Linked DNA regions of Neodiprion lecontei. The protein of the gene in region 2 binds, or shares a complex with, the protein of the main gene of each other region. Links are inferred from orthologs where the notes say so. Each region holds a gene or a part of one and is shown on either strand. Other genes may lie near its edges. The genes, in order: COP9 signalosome complex subunit 8 and COP9 signalosome complex subunit 7b.

The links.
Region 1: COP9 signalosome complex subunit 7b (region 2) and COP9 signalosome complex subunit 8 share a complex: the UniProt entries of both Drosophila melanogaster proteins name them as parts of the CSN complex. The link is inferred for Neodiprion lecontei from reciprocal best matches to the Drosophila melanogaster genes CSN7 and CSN8.

The regions. Positions count from the first base shown.
Region 1 is NC_060264.1:22,050,402-22,056,027, reverse strand, and holds COP9 signalosome complex subunit 8, read left to right. Parts: upstream 1-1,831; 5' UTR 1,832-1,989; intron 1,990-2,225; 5' UTR 2,226-2,417; coding exon 2,418-2,474; intron 2,475-2,777; coding exon 2,778-2,848; intron 2,849-2,930; coding exon 2,931-3,109; intron 3,110-4,524; coding exon 4,525-4,775; 3' UTR 4,776-4,933; downstream 4,934-5,626. UniProt on the Drosophila melanogaster protein: Probable component of the COP9 signalosome complex (CSN), a complex involved in various cellular and developmental processes.
Region 2 is NC_060261.1:43,244,615-43,250,294, reverse strand, and holds COP9 signalosome complex subunit 7b, read right to left. Parts: upstream 3,595-5,680; 5' UTR 3,580-3,594; coding exon 3,440-3,579; exon of another isoform or gene 3,251-3,439; intron 3,125-3,250; coding exon 2,467-3,124; intron 2,330-2,466; coding exon 2,129-2,329; 3' UTR 557-2,128; downstream 1-556. Other genes in the region: arf-GAP with coiled-coil, ANK repeat and PH domain-containing protein 2, read left to right, coding at 4,214-4,266, 4,862-4,919, 5,655-5,680. UniProt on the Drosophila melanogaster protein: Component of the COP9 signalosome complex (CSN), a complex involved in various cellular and developmental processes.

The DNA.
Region 1 (5,626 bases), on a different chromosome or scaffold from region 2:
ACTTCGATATTTAGAGATATATACGTTAACGTCGAAATCATCTAGGGCACCCCCTTAAAATTGGGCTAGCTTCGTCTTTATTCCGTGTTCAGATATGACCTAATTTTTCTCAAATACTATACATACATAATACGGCAACTTATGGATACATATATACCTATGAGGAAGTCAAGTTTACTATTTTCGTTCATAACAGCTGGGCCTCTTACATGTTACAAGTGTTTAAACGTTTACATATGTCAATACATATGTTTCAAACTTTGTTATGAAGCCCATATATTTGAGCTAAGGAAAACAACTACAGCCTGCATGAGAAATGATTGTTGTTTCTGCTACAAGTTAGGATGAGAATATGCGGGGTATTATACTACATGTGGCATTTCCTCAGATCTAAATCTGTTTATTAATAGTAGTCATAACTTGTATATCTTCGATTTGAAGGGTCTTGTCACCAACTAATTAAAATCAACCTTATTAAAAGAAAAAAAATATATACATATATATATAAAAATTTATGTTCACGTTCACGTGAAAACAGAGGAAGAAATGTTTAGTTAAAATCAGAAAATAACAATATTTTTGTTGCAGTAGTTATACATAGAGATTTGAGTTGAATTATGTGGGAGGTGTGTAAGAGTAACGGTAACGAACCCTGTATTGTCAGTCAATAGTTTCTTGGATTAGCCACTGGAGTCGGGCGCTACAATCGGGCAGAAACGAAGCGAGCCAGGGGTAGCGCGCTGGGTTTCAGATTTTTCAGTCGAGTTCTAGACATGGTGACTACCAGAAGTGCTCGAGACGATTAAGTAGATATCGGTATCCAAGCAATAGCGACACGAGGGCGAGTCCATCATTTTGAAGTTGAATAAGAGTATGCGCAAATACATACATATTAGAGGCGCCTGGTTCTTCGAGGCGTGGACACTGAAGTGTTCATGTGACCGCGTAGGAATCCCGGCGAATGATTATGAGCACATTGCACGTATCCGATCAACTATTGTTCCGGATTGTTGTCATCATTGAAAGACAGCATAAGCGGGAGGAGTTTTTGCTTTGAGGCCGATGTATATGTGCGTGCTGGAGCCCCTGACGCCACGATTGATAAGTTAGTGGCGGCGGCGCGAACTTAAAAATGTCCATGCGACCGCGTAGGGCACAGTATGTATGTACATATAGACATACTGCATCACACGAAAGCATTAATTTAATCTGCATCTGTTCTTGAGACACTTTTAATGCCCAGATATTCTTTTGATATCAGAAGCAATTTTACGCCAAGAAATTTTCATGTATTCAATTTCAAGTCACTGTGATTGATAGTTCCAACAGTTCAGCCGAAAAACAATAGTTCTCCGTATCATATTTATCCCAAGTTGCAGTGCAAGGTGTCCTAGTTTTTCTTTTCTGAGTTCCTGGTATCTTGATTATAGTCAAAAAAAAACTTTCAAGAATTCTATTCTGTGCTGAAGGACCTATGACTCCCGAGTTTTGCAAAAACTCTGAAGCTTATTCCTGCAGATTTAAAAAAAAAAAGCAAATGAAGTACCAATTCTAAAACTCGCTGTCACGAATTTGTTTATATTCTGAGCCAGGCACACATCCATGTCATTCGTCGTTACTGCGTATGCGCAGAGAGACCAACTATTCGTTTACTTCTAAAGGCAGAGTCGCCAGCTCAGTGATTTTGTCACCAGATTTAATACCTTTCATGACTCTTTCGGTGACATTGTTTTTCACTTGTGGCAAGTACCTAATCTGGTGATTTGGAACCCATTGCGGTGATTTTCAGTGACATTACTTATATTTAAAATTTTTTTTTCGTATTAGTTGGTTCTGGTTGTCGTGAGTGCATTCGAGCGGCATTTGATCGTTTCAGGGATTATAGACTTTTCAACAGAATCCTGTGACACAACCAACGCGATCCTCGATATAAGATGCAGCTTAAAAATATCAGGGCAATGCTGTCAGGTATAGGAGTTTCCAAAAAAGGTAAGTTCGAAGAGTGAAACTTTACAAGCACATCAGAACAATACTGACAAAACAGATAATTCTCTACGTCCAAACAGTTTATATGATTAAAATATTATTTTATTCTGTAATAATGAATATAAATACATCTATATTCATAATTGTGGAAGTACAAATTAATAAGGTTAACAACATTTATAAAAGCGTTTTAATAAAGAAAAAGCACTATGAAAAAATCTGGTGACGTTTGTTCCTAGTGACATGCCCGGATTTTGAGTTGGCAATAGTGTCAGAGCTCGAGTGAGAAAGAGACACAGCTATACGAACACGAAGGACGGTATATTCAAGGAAGTTGCAAACTGTCAAATAAAAAATTGAACTGGACAACATCATCCTTGCGAAAACTTGTAACAGTCAAAAAGTTCACGGAGACGTAGTGGAGGCTCAATATGGTCTTGAAGGAGGTTGAGAAGTTACTTGATGAGCTCGAGAAGGCAGAACTTGAGGTTAGCCGGTGAAAATCTTCGAAACCTAAGTTAATCTTAACTACACATACAATTTAAAAAAAAATTCTTACAAGCGTTGAAAATTACACCTCAATTGCAACGAATTGCGAAATGAATTAAATACTACGATCTAACCTAGTACAATACATTTTTTATTTTTGTTTCTAAAATAAAACGCAATTCTTAACCTACAAACTTTCAAAATCTGAAAATAATAATTTTACATGAAAACGAATAGCGATCAAATTTTTACGAATTCTCTGCTATATCTGTAATCAAAAAGTTTGTCTTATTTCGTTTCAGGCACCTAATGGAGGCGCAACACCACAGACTTATACCCAGCTACTGGCGGTTTACCTATACCAAAATGACATGTAAGCCATACAGAGACGAGATAACGAAGGGAAAAAAATATAGTAGATGTACTTACTACACCTTGTATCTTCTGTTTATTAGATGCAATGCTAAATATTTGTGGAAACGGATACCGGCCAACGTCAAGGCAAACAGCAATGAACTTCAGCAGGTCTGGTTAGTCGGGCAGCGAATGTGGCAGCGAGACTGGCCTGCAGTACATGCAGCTCTGAGCACTGAATGGAGCGAAGACATAAACAGCATAATGAATGCTCTCAAAGGTTGTTTAATCTAATGATGAGAAAATTCAATATCAAAGCCCCCCCTTGCTAATACCCCCCTATGCTGGTCCAAAAATTTGGCAAAATCGATCAATTTTTTTTTTTGCATATTATAGCTACCTCTTTTAAGAATATTTTGACCAAAGCCCATATCGAACTTCCAAAAATTGAGAAAGTTATGAGCATTTGAGTGAAACAGTGTACGACCGCTCAGTGTGCGCCTCAATAGATTTATTGGCTTGAAGGCTAGAAAAATTTGCCTGTAAGGAAGCTGCGAATGTGACTAAAGGCTTCGTACATGCCTCACGAGTCGCCGATCAACGGTTAGAAAAATTCCCATTTCAGCTGATACAGAAGTAAGCGTCAAAACAGAGATCAAAACTTTAAACGCATTAACTTTAAATATGTTTATCTGAAAACTCCATATTTCAACCTTGTGGACATAAAATCTCGAGTTCTATCCAACCGGTTGACTTAAAATTTGGTATGAATCTTCAGTATACATTCTTCTATAGCCTATACCATAGGGATTGCGAAATTATTGTTATCACTATTTAAAAAAAGTGAAAAACATCGAAAAACACAAGGAACATAATTAATTCTGTTTTCAAACAGTCACCGTTTTGTAATATTTTTTCCTTTTCTTGGTTCCGGCTATAGTGACATTTTCACTCATCAAGAAATCTCGCTGTTTTTCCGTTCTAGATGAATGGGAGCACTGGAATCGTGTCATCCACCTCACCGTTTTTTTTATCACGGCCCTATTTAGAGGCCCATAACGTTTTTAAAAAAATTTAAGAACAAGTTCTTTAAACACTAATAATACCTCTGTGAAGAAATGGATGGTGAAAATATAAATTTTTTTTATATCAAGCCCAAAAAAACGCCTGAAATCCAGACCTCTAGACCAGAATAGCCTCTGATACATAAATAGATTCATGGTTTGAATACTAAATGTATGAATTTTGTATAAAGAAAGCAAGTAAAAATATCAGGGTGGTATTCTCATGAGTTAAAAGTATCAAAATAGATTCCAAAATATTTAGCTACCACTCCAGGCTCATACCTCAATTCTAAGTTCTGTTCATATCTTTTGCATTATTTCATTTAAATATCGGGATTCTTGGGACTTCACAATTAATTTTTTTTTGTTTTTTTTTCAACTTTATAAAGTGTCAGATTTTCCGACAACACACTTCAGTAAAAAAAATGTACCGCGAATCGTTAAAAACTCTGTTGTTCAAATGGAAAGATTGAAAGGATTTAGGACAGAACTGAGAATGGGATAATAGCCTAGAATTTCGGCTACTTCCTTTTAAATTGATTTTGATAGATTTTAATCTATAGGAAATGGGAAAACTCACTTGGAAATGTGAAACTTGAGGAAAAACAGTATTGAAATTATTTTGTTTTAGAAAATGTTCGAGAACGCGCGGTAATATTGATATCAGAGGCATATTCCTCGTTGACGCTGATCACGTTGGCCAGCATGACGGGACTGTCGGCGCCAGAAGCGCAAACTCTTGCTACCGAGAGGGAATGGAAAATCGAGGGTGACATGGTACAGCCGAAGAGAATAGATAAGGACTATCATCTTGGCCAAAACAGCCTCACTGAGGACCAGCTCCACAAGCTTACGCAGTTTGTTTCGTTCCTGGAAAATTAAAATATCTCCAAGTCCGTTTGCGATACATGAATCGCATTTAAAATACTTCTATATCGTAATTTAATGATCTCTTGTCATATAAAATGTATAATTATTCATGATATTATTATTACTGCTATTATTACTAGTGAAGAGAATCTACCTCATCATATTTCATACACCCGGTTTTTCTATTACTTTCTTCCTAATTTTTTTGTGAACAACAAGGCTCATGGTGGCTACTCTTGATGGAAGGCCTGGAAATCAGAGAAAGCTCAGGGAATCTTTTAATTGGTCAGAAAAAATGAACGGTGGTTCGACGGAACGGGAAAAAACTAAGCTTATTCTACAAAAAATCAAAATTCGGAAAAATCGCATGCTACAAATTTTGAATCAATATAGATCGTGTCAAGAAATAAAGTGCTTTTCGGATGAAAAATTTCGTACTATGCACGAGAGATATTTTTATAAATTACGTAGAGAACAAAATATTACTTCCGCGTATATTTCTTGGTTTAGCGTTACGCACTCATCCAGATATTATACATAGAATAGGCAAGATGCAGGGGTTTGCATAAGTAGAAAGGATGTCCTGGTCTCTATAAAAGATATTCTATCTACGCACTAAGTAAGTTTGCATATCAATCTAAATATTATACAAAATTTTTCTTCAAATAAATTAGAAAATGTTCTCTGTAAACGTTTAGGTAACAAAGTGATTAAAAAAAAATACTTCTGTGCTTAACCTCGCATGAATAATATAAATTATTCTCAGTCACCATTAAATAGATCGTGACGATATTGACGATATTATTGGCGCTATTACTCACCATTTTAGTCAGGGAAAGTCATGGAATTTTTCGACTGTTTTT
Region 2 (5,680 bases):
TGTATACCCTGAATTATTGCGGTATAGAATTACTACAATTATTTCTTTATTATCGTTATTTTTGTCCATTATTGTAGGGATGAATCCCTCGCCGCGAAAACAAGAACAATTGAATTTTAACCAATTGCAAGACAAAACAACACAACTGGATTTACATCATTCATTTTGCAAAGATTTCAGCATGCACTGTGTTATTTTTATATGAACATATGTTTTGTTGTATACTAAAAGGTACATATTTTATGGTTTTTCTTTTTTTTATAAAATGGAAAATCATATAATATTATCCATTCATTCGGTAAGTAACAAAATGATATATATCAGTATATGGAAATAGTAACTAATGTTGTAATTTAATAATTATGTTTATGCAGCATTTGGTATTAATGATACAAATGATAAATGTATCGCGAAGGATTACATCTCGAGATAGAAATTCTTTGATCGATATCGAACTGTTTCTGTTTCTTTCATTTTTTTTTTTTTTTTTTTTTGTAATACATATCCTTCCGAATTAGCATCCTCTTGTAACTGGCTCTTGTCTATAAAACTAAAATCGAAACAAATCAGTGGATTTTAATATCTGTCTGACATAACACTGTGACTTTTATAATACATATTATATTATTTTACTATGATTACGTATTTTCAAGTTTTCCTATTTACTAAATACTTTGTTTATCTCCTTCTGCAATACTTAATGTATGGCTGATGATTCGATCTCGAAAAACATCGCGGGATAGAAACCGAAATAAGTAAAACTGATTAGCATATTTTATGTCAAATTTTGGCAACATCTTCCCCTCAGTTTTGCTTATATTCACTTCTACTTTTACTTTTCACCAGGTTTTACATACATCGCGTAGTTGATTAAAATTATCTCGTTGAATATCTTGAATTAAATATTTATGTATCCGTTAATTAGCACCATTCGAATATATTAATAGATAGTTAAAAAACAAAAAAACAAAAATGGTTCGACGAAACGTTAATAACATCACTGAACCACAAGATGTTGAAGAATAATCTCGTACTTTTATATTCTATAATTTTATAAAACGTCGCGGGGTAAAACAAGTGAGAGTAATGAATGTACTTTATAAATCTAGGTAACTAGCGATACCAAAAATTGAAGATAAAATCAATCGTTTAAAAATTTCATTCCAATTCACGACTGCAAACAACCTTACTAAAGTTAAAACTTTTTCCGTATTTTCAACTTTCTCTTTCATTTCTTCGTTTAACAACGGCTTTTTTTAGTATAAACATAATAACATGGCTCATAGTGATTCCATATTTATATATATTATATTAGTCGTGCTTTTTCTGTAACTTGTGAAGTAGTGACTACGGTTTAATAATGAAAATCCTGAACCAGCAGTTCATTTTACATATTTAATAATATATACAACTTACGTCTCTTAAATATCGACGTGCAAAATCCGAGCCAACGTAATAATTGGCATTGTAAAATACAATTACGTTCTATTATACTCTTAAAGATCCCTGATTTCATTATTTTCATCACACTTTAAACAACGTAATAACACAGATCCCTCGGTCATTCTACTTCAGAACTTATTCAATTATTTTACGACACTCAGGGTGGCCGCTTGATTGTTTTTTTTTCTCAAAAATTACTTTGTCTCTTTTCCGCAGTGTTGCGCAAAGTGTAGGCATCGTTTTAAAAGTCTCAGTTATTGACTGTCAAGGAGATCACAACGCATCAACTTTCCAAAAAAAAAAAAAAAACAGAGGTGTTAAGTCACGATTTCAATGAAAACAAGAAACGACAAATTAAATTATGTTTGCTGACCACAGCAAAACAAAGTACACGACAATAGTTACAAATCACAGCCAACTTATTTGTATTTTTTTATTTTCGATATGTGAACATGACATAATCCCAAGACTTGAAAACAGTTTCCTGATAAAAGTTCTCGATTCTCCCAGAGAAGCGGCCACCCTGAAATCACTTCATCCTGTGCATACGAATATTCGTTAATTTCAGTCATTAGAAACTTACACGTATGACATTTTTTTCTTCGTAGAAATATCAAGAGTATCACCGATCCGTGGATAAGAAGTAGGCCTCAAGAGATCTGCACTTATCCGTTTGTTACTTACTTTAAGTCTTCCAGAACTTACCACTGCCTCGAATACCTTTTGGTTTTTGTTGTTTCTTTTTAGTATCTGGTGGAACAGGCACGGCTTCTCGGCTCGTTTCGCTTCCTCCCGATCCAGATTCGATCCCGCCACCAGCGACATCTGCCTCCTGGACAACCCCACGTACTGTATGAGCTGTGATTGATTTTTTTACGGCTTGGATCTGCAAGAGGAAGATTTTTGATCAGACTTAAAAGCTGAGAAAGGCGGGACTTGTGAAATGAGTGAATAAACGTGCTAGTGCTGGAATTCCAAATACACGAGCAGGTTTGGCTTAAGGGATTGTGCCAATTGACTTACCTCCTGCTTAAGTTTTTCTTGGTGTTGAGTTGCCTTTTGTTTTTCACTGTTGGCCCTAAGCACCTGCTGCTCAATGCAGTTCAGTACCGTGTCGCAGGCCTCACCCCAGGCAGTCAAGATTTCTGCAACGGCGCCGGTATCACCGGGTCTGACATCCCGACCTAATCCAGCATAGTCAACTTCTAGCTGTGAATTCTTCTGGTCCAATTTACCATGGATAATATCGGCGTAAACAGCCTCGATTATCAGATCCTCCAGGTCTCTGACATTCTTCAAGTCAAGCTCTTCTAGCAGAACGGAGTAAGGTATGCACTTTGATTTCGTGGCTAGCGTGACTATCGTCAAATGCTGGAGCTTCTTTTTCTGAACGGGTGTGAGGTGGAACAGTTTATCTTTGTTCGCCAAGTACTGCTTGTACGTGCCATAGGCGAAGAGGTTCAATGTGTTCCAATACTCGGCGTACGGTCCGTTCTCCAATTCTTTTATGTTCGGCATATCCAGCAGCTCCCCGAAAACATTTACTCCAGGTGCTTCAACGGCCTGCTTTATCAGCTCCACCGCTGCCGCGCCTTTAGCAGTTTTAGCCAGAAGGACAAACTGCTCCAAGGGGTTGTTGGTGGATGTTTTTTCAGTTACACTCGCACCCGTCATCGCTAATCTGAAAAAAAGGAATCTTCGATTGATTTCTGACAATTAATGGTATTGGGTAAATGCGAAAGTCGATTGCGGCATCGTGAAAAATCATTTCGATTCAAGTAAGGAGTCAGTGAGGTCACAATCTCACCAGACTAACTACGCTAACCTCGAATTCGGCTGCCCGAAGAACGCCAAGCCTAACGACGAACACAAATTAACGTACGAAATAATCAATATCACTTATGCAATTCTATGCTAGCCAATTCCCAGGAATATCACCGCTTATCAACTCGTTTCTCGCCTACAAAAACGATTTTATGCGCACGTATTGCTTTACCCCTTTGACGGATTTTCATTTGTCATTTGAAACACAACCACTAAGCCCACAGCCGTTAACTGGCAATAAAGGCGAAAACACTGGGCGAAAACAACTCGTGTCAGTATGTATTCTGTAGTTCCGGCATGGCTAGCTAACATACCGACAGAAATGGTAAGTGCTTCTATGTGCGTAAATTACGAACAAAAACGGAAATAACAGAGATCCTAGGCGTTTGTTCATATGAAAAAATTCGCAAACTCCGATGACTATTTACTTTTCCAATATCCACAAGTCCGTTATTATTACCGATCGCGATTTTTCTGTTGAGTTCTTACCAACGATCGGTAAGACAGGAAATTTCTTAATCCTGGCCGTAAATAGTGTAAATACCTCTGCCGTTCCCGACATACTCTGTTCGGGTTTTCTCCGCGCGTCGTTCTGGCGACTGATTCACGTTATTCAGATTTCACGTGTGCTCCGTACCTCGACCCGAGCGAGTGCGGCCGACTCACAAGTCTACTCCATTATTTATTTGACGAAAAAGTGGGGATTGGGGACCGATTGTCCGCACTGTGGTTTCCCTCTGACAAGTATCACGCTGCATGATTTTATTTTTCACTCATTTTCTATTCTTCACGAGTAATTACCCACGAGCTTGTGTGAAAAATAAATAAATAGCTGAATGAAAATGTTGTGCGAGAGTGACAGCATATTCGTGAAATATTATTAACGTATCAACATCACGGATATAAATCCGAATGTGACAGGAGGTGTCTCTTCGTCTGTTTCAAAATGCCGAAATTAATTGAGTTTGAGGAATGCCTACGGGATACGCCAAAATTTCGGTGAGAACAATCACTTTTTACAGCGAATCGTGGACACCCAACCTTGACAGATTTTACTTTCGTGTACAGATATGCCATATGCGTCGCCTGTAATTCATTCGCAAAACGAAAACGAAAGAGAAAGAAACGTATTATAATCATCATAGTAAACAGTTTAGAAATTCACCCACGGATTTATGCACGTCACATATTTAATATCCTTCTCACACATACGTATGTATATCTATACGTATGCCGTAGGTAAAGCATTACGTATTCACGCACGTAAAAATGTTCGGCTTAACCTCTCTTTGTCGAAAACTAAATTTATATTTGTACATTCGCTCGTTTCTGTCTACGCGTTACCTTAGACAAAATATCCTTTGTCTCTGCGACGTATTTACGCTGTGTTATCGCTTCTGAAATTTATTTCGACACTCAATGTGGAAGAATCGCTCATCCATTGTTAATGAGAATGAATAAAACAAACAAACCCACTACCTTTTACACCTATGTAGAAAACGGCTAATCTGTTGTCGATACAATTTTATCCTCCCCTCCCTCCAAACGAATGTTTGAAAAAATTGTCAGGTTGTTGCTATGTTATTTGTTCCAGATCACGCATCGAGGAAGAAGAAAGCAATGTAGAGCAGCTAGAACAAAAATTAGAAAAGGTACGCAAGTGCGGATTCGATTGTCCATTTTGTCGAATTAAAACTTCCTTTTATCCTTTATTAAGCATTTGAGAATAAAACATCGTATTGAAGTTGGTAATGTTATCATAACGATTCATGCTGACAAAAAACCATTATTTCATGGTTTTGGAATTGTCTGAAATTCAGTAAACGGTAATAAAACAAAACACGCTCGTATTTCGAATTTTTAGTTCCTGAAAAATCATTGTAAAATTAAGAAAATACTGATTTCTTCCCCAATGTTTCGTTACAATAACGTTACTAACTTCAACCTTGTAATAAAACACGTTCTCTCTGTTTTGAATCAAACCTAACTGATGTATTGTAAAAAAGCTCTGAGGTACTATTCAACCCATTTTATGACCTGTGAATATTTATACAGGATATCCTGTTGTTATCTTTAAAAGTTGTTTCTGCATTACATTACTTGTCCAGTTCTGTTAACGTTCAATTGAAAATATACAGCGTTTGAATCATTCAACAATACACTTTCATAAAGTTATAAGCTTTTGCTGAAAATTATTTAATTATATTATCTTATCTTTGCCCAGTAAAACCGGTGAACCCTAGTACATGGTGCATTAAAATTAACTTTGCGGTTTGCATACGTTGTGTAATCGAATGTGGTGGTAGAACATATACTAAAAACAATTTGTCTTGAATGTTTTGACAAATGCACGATTATGCTAATTACAGATGGTTATGATATTGCAGGTGTTAAAAAATTGCAGCATGATGAT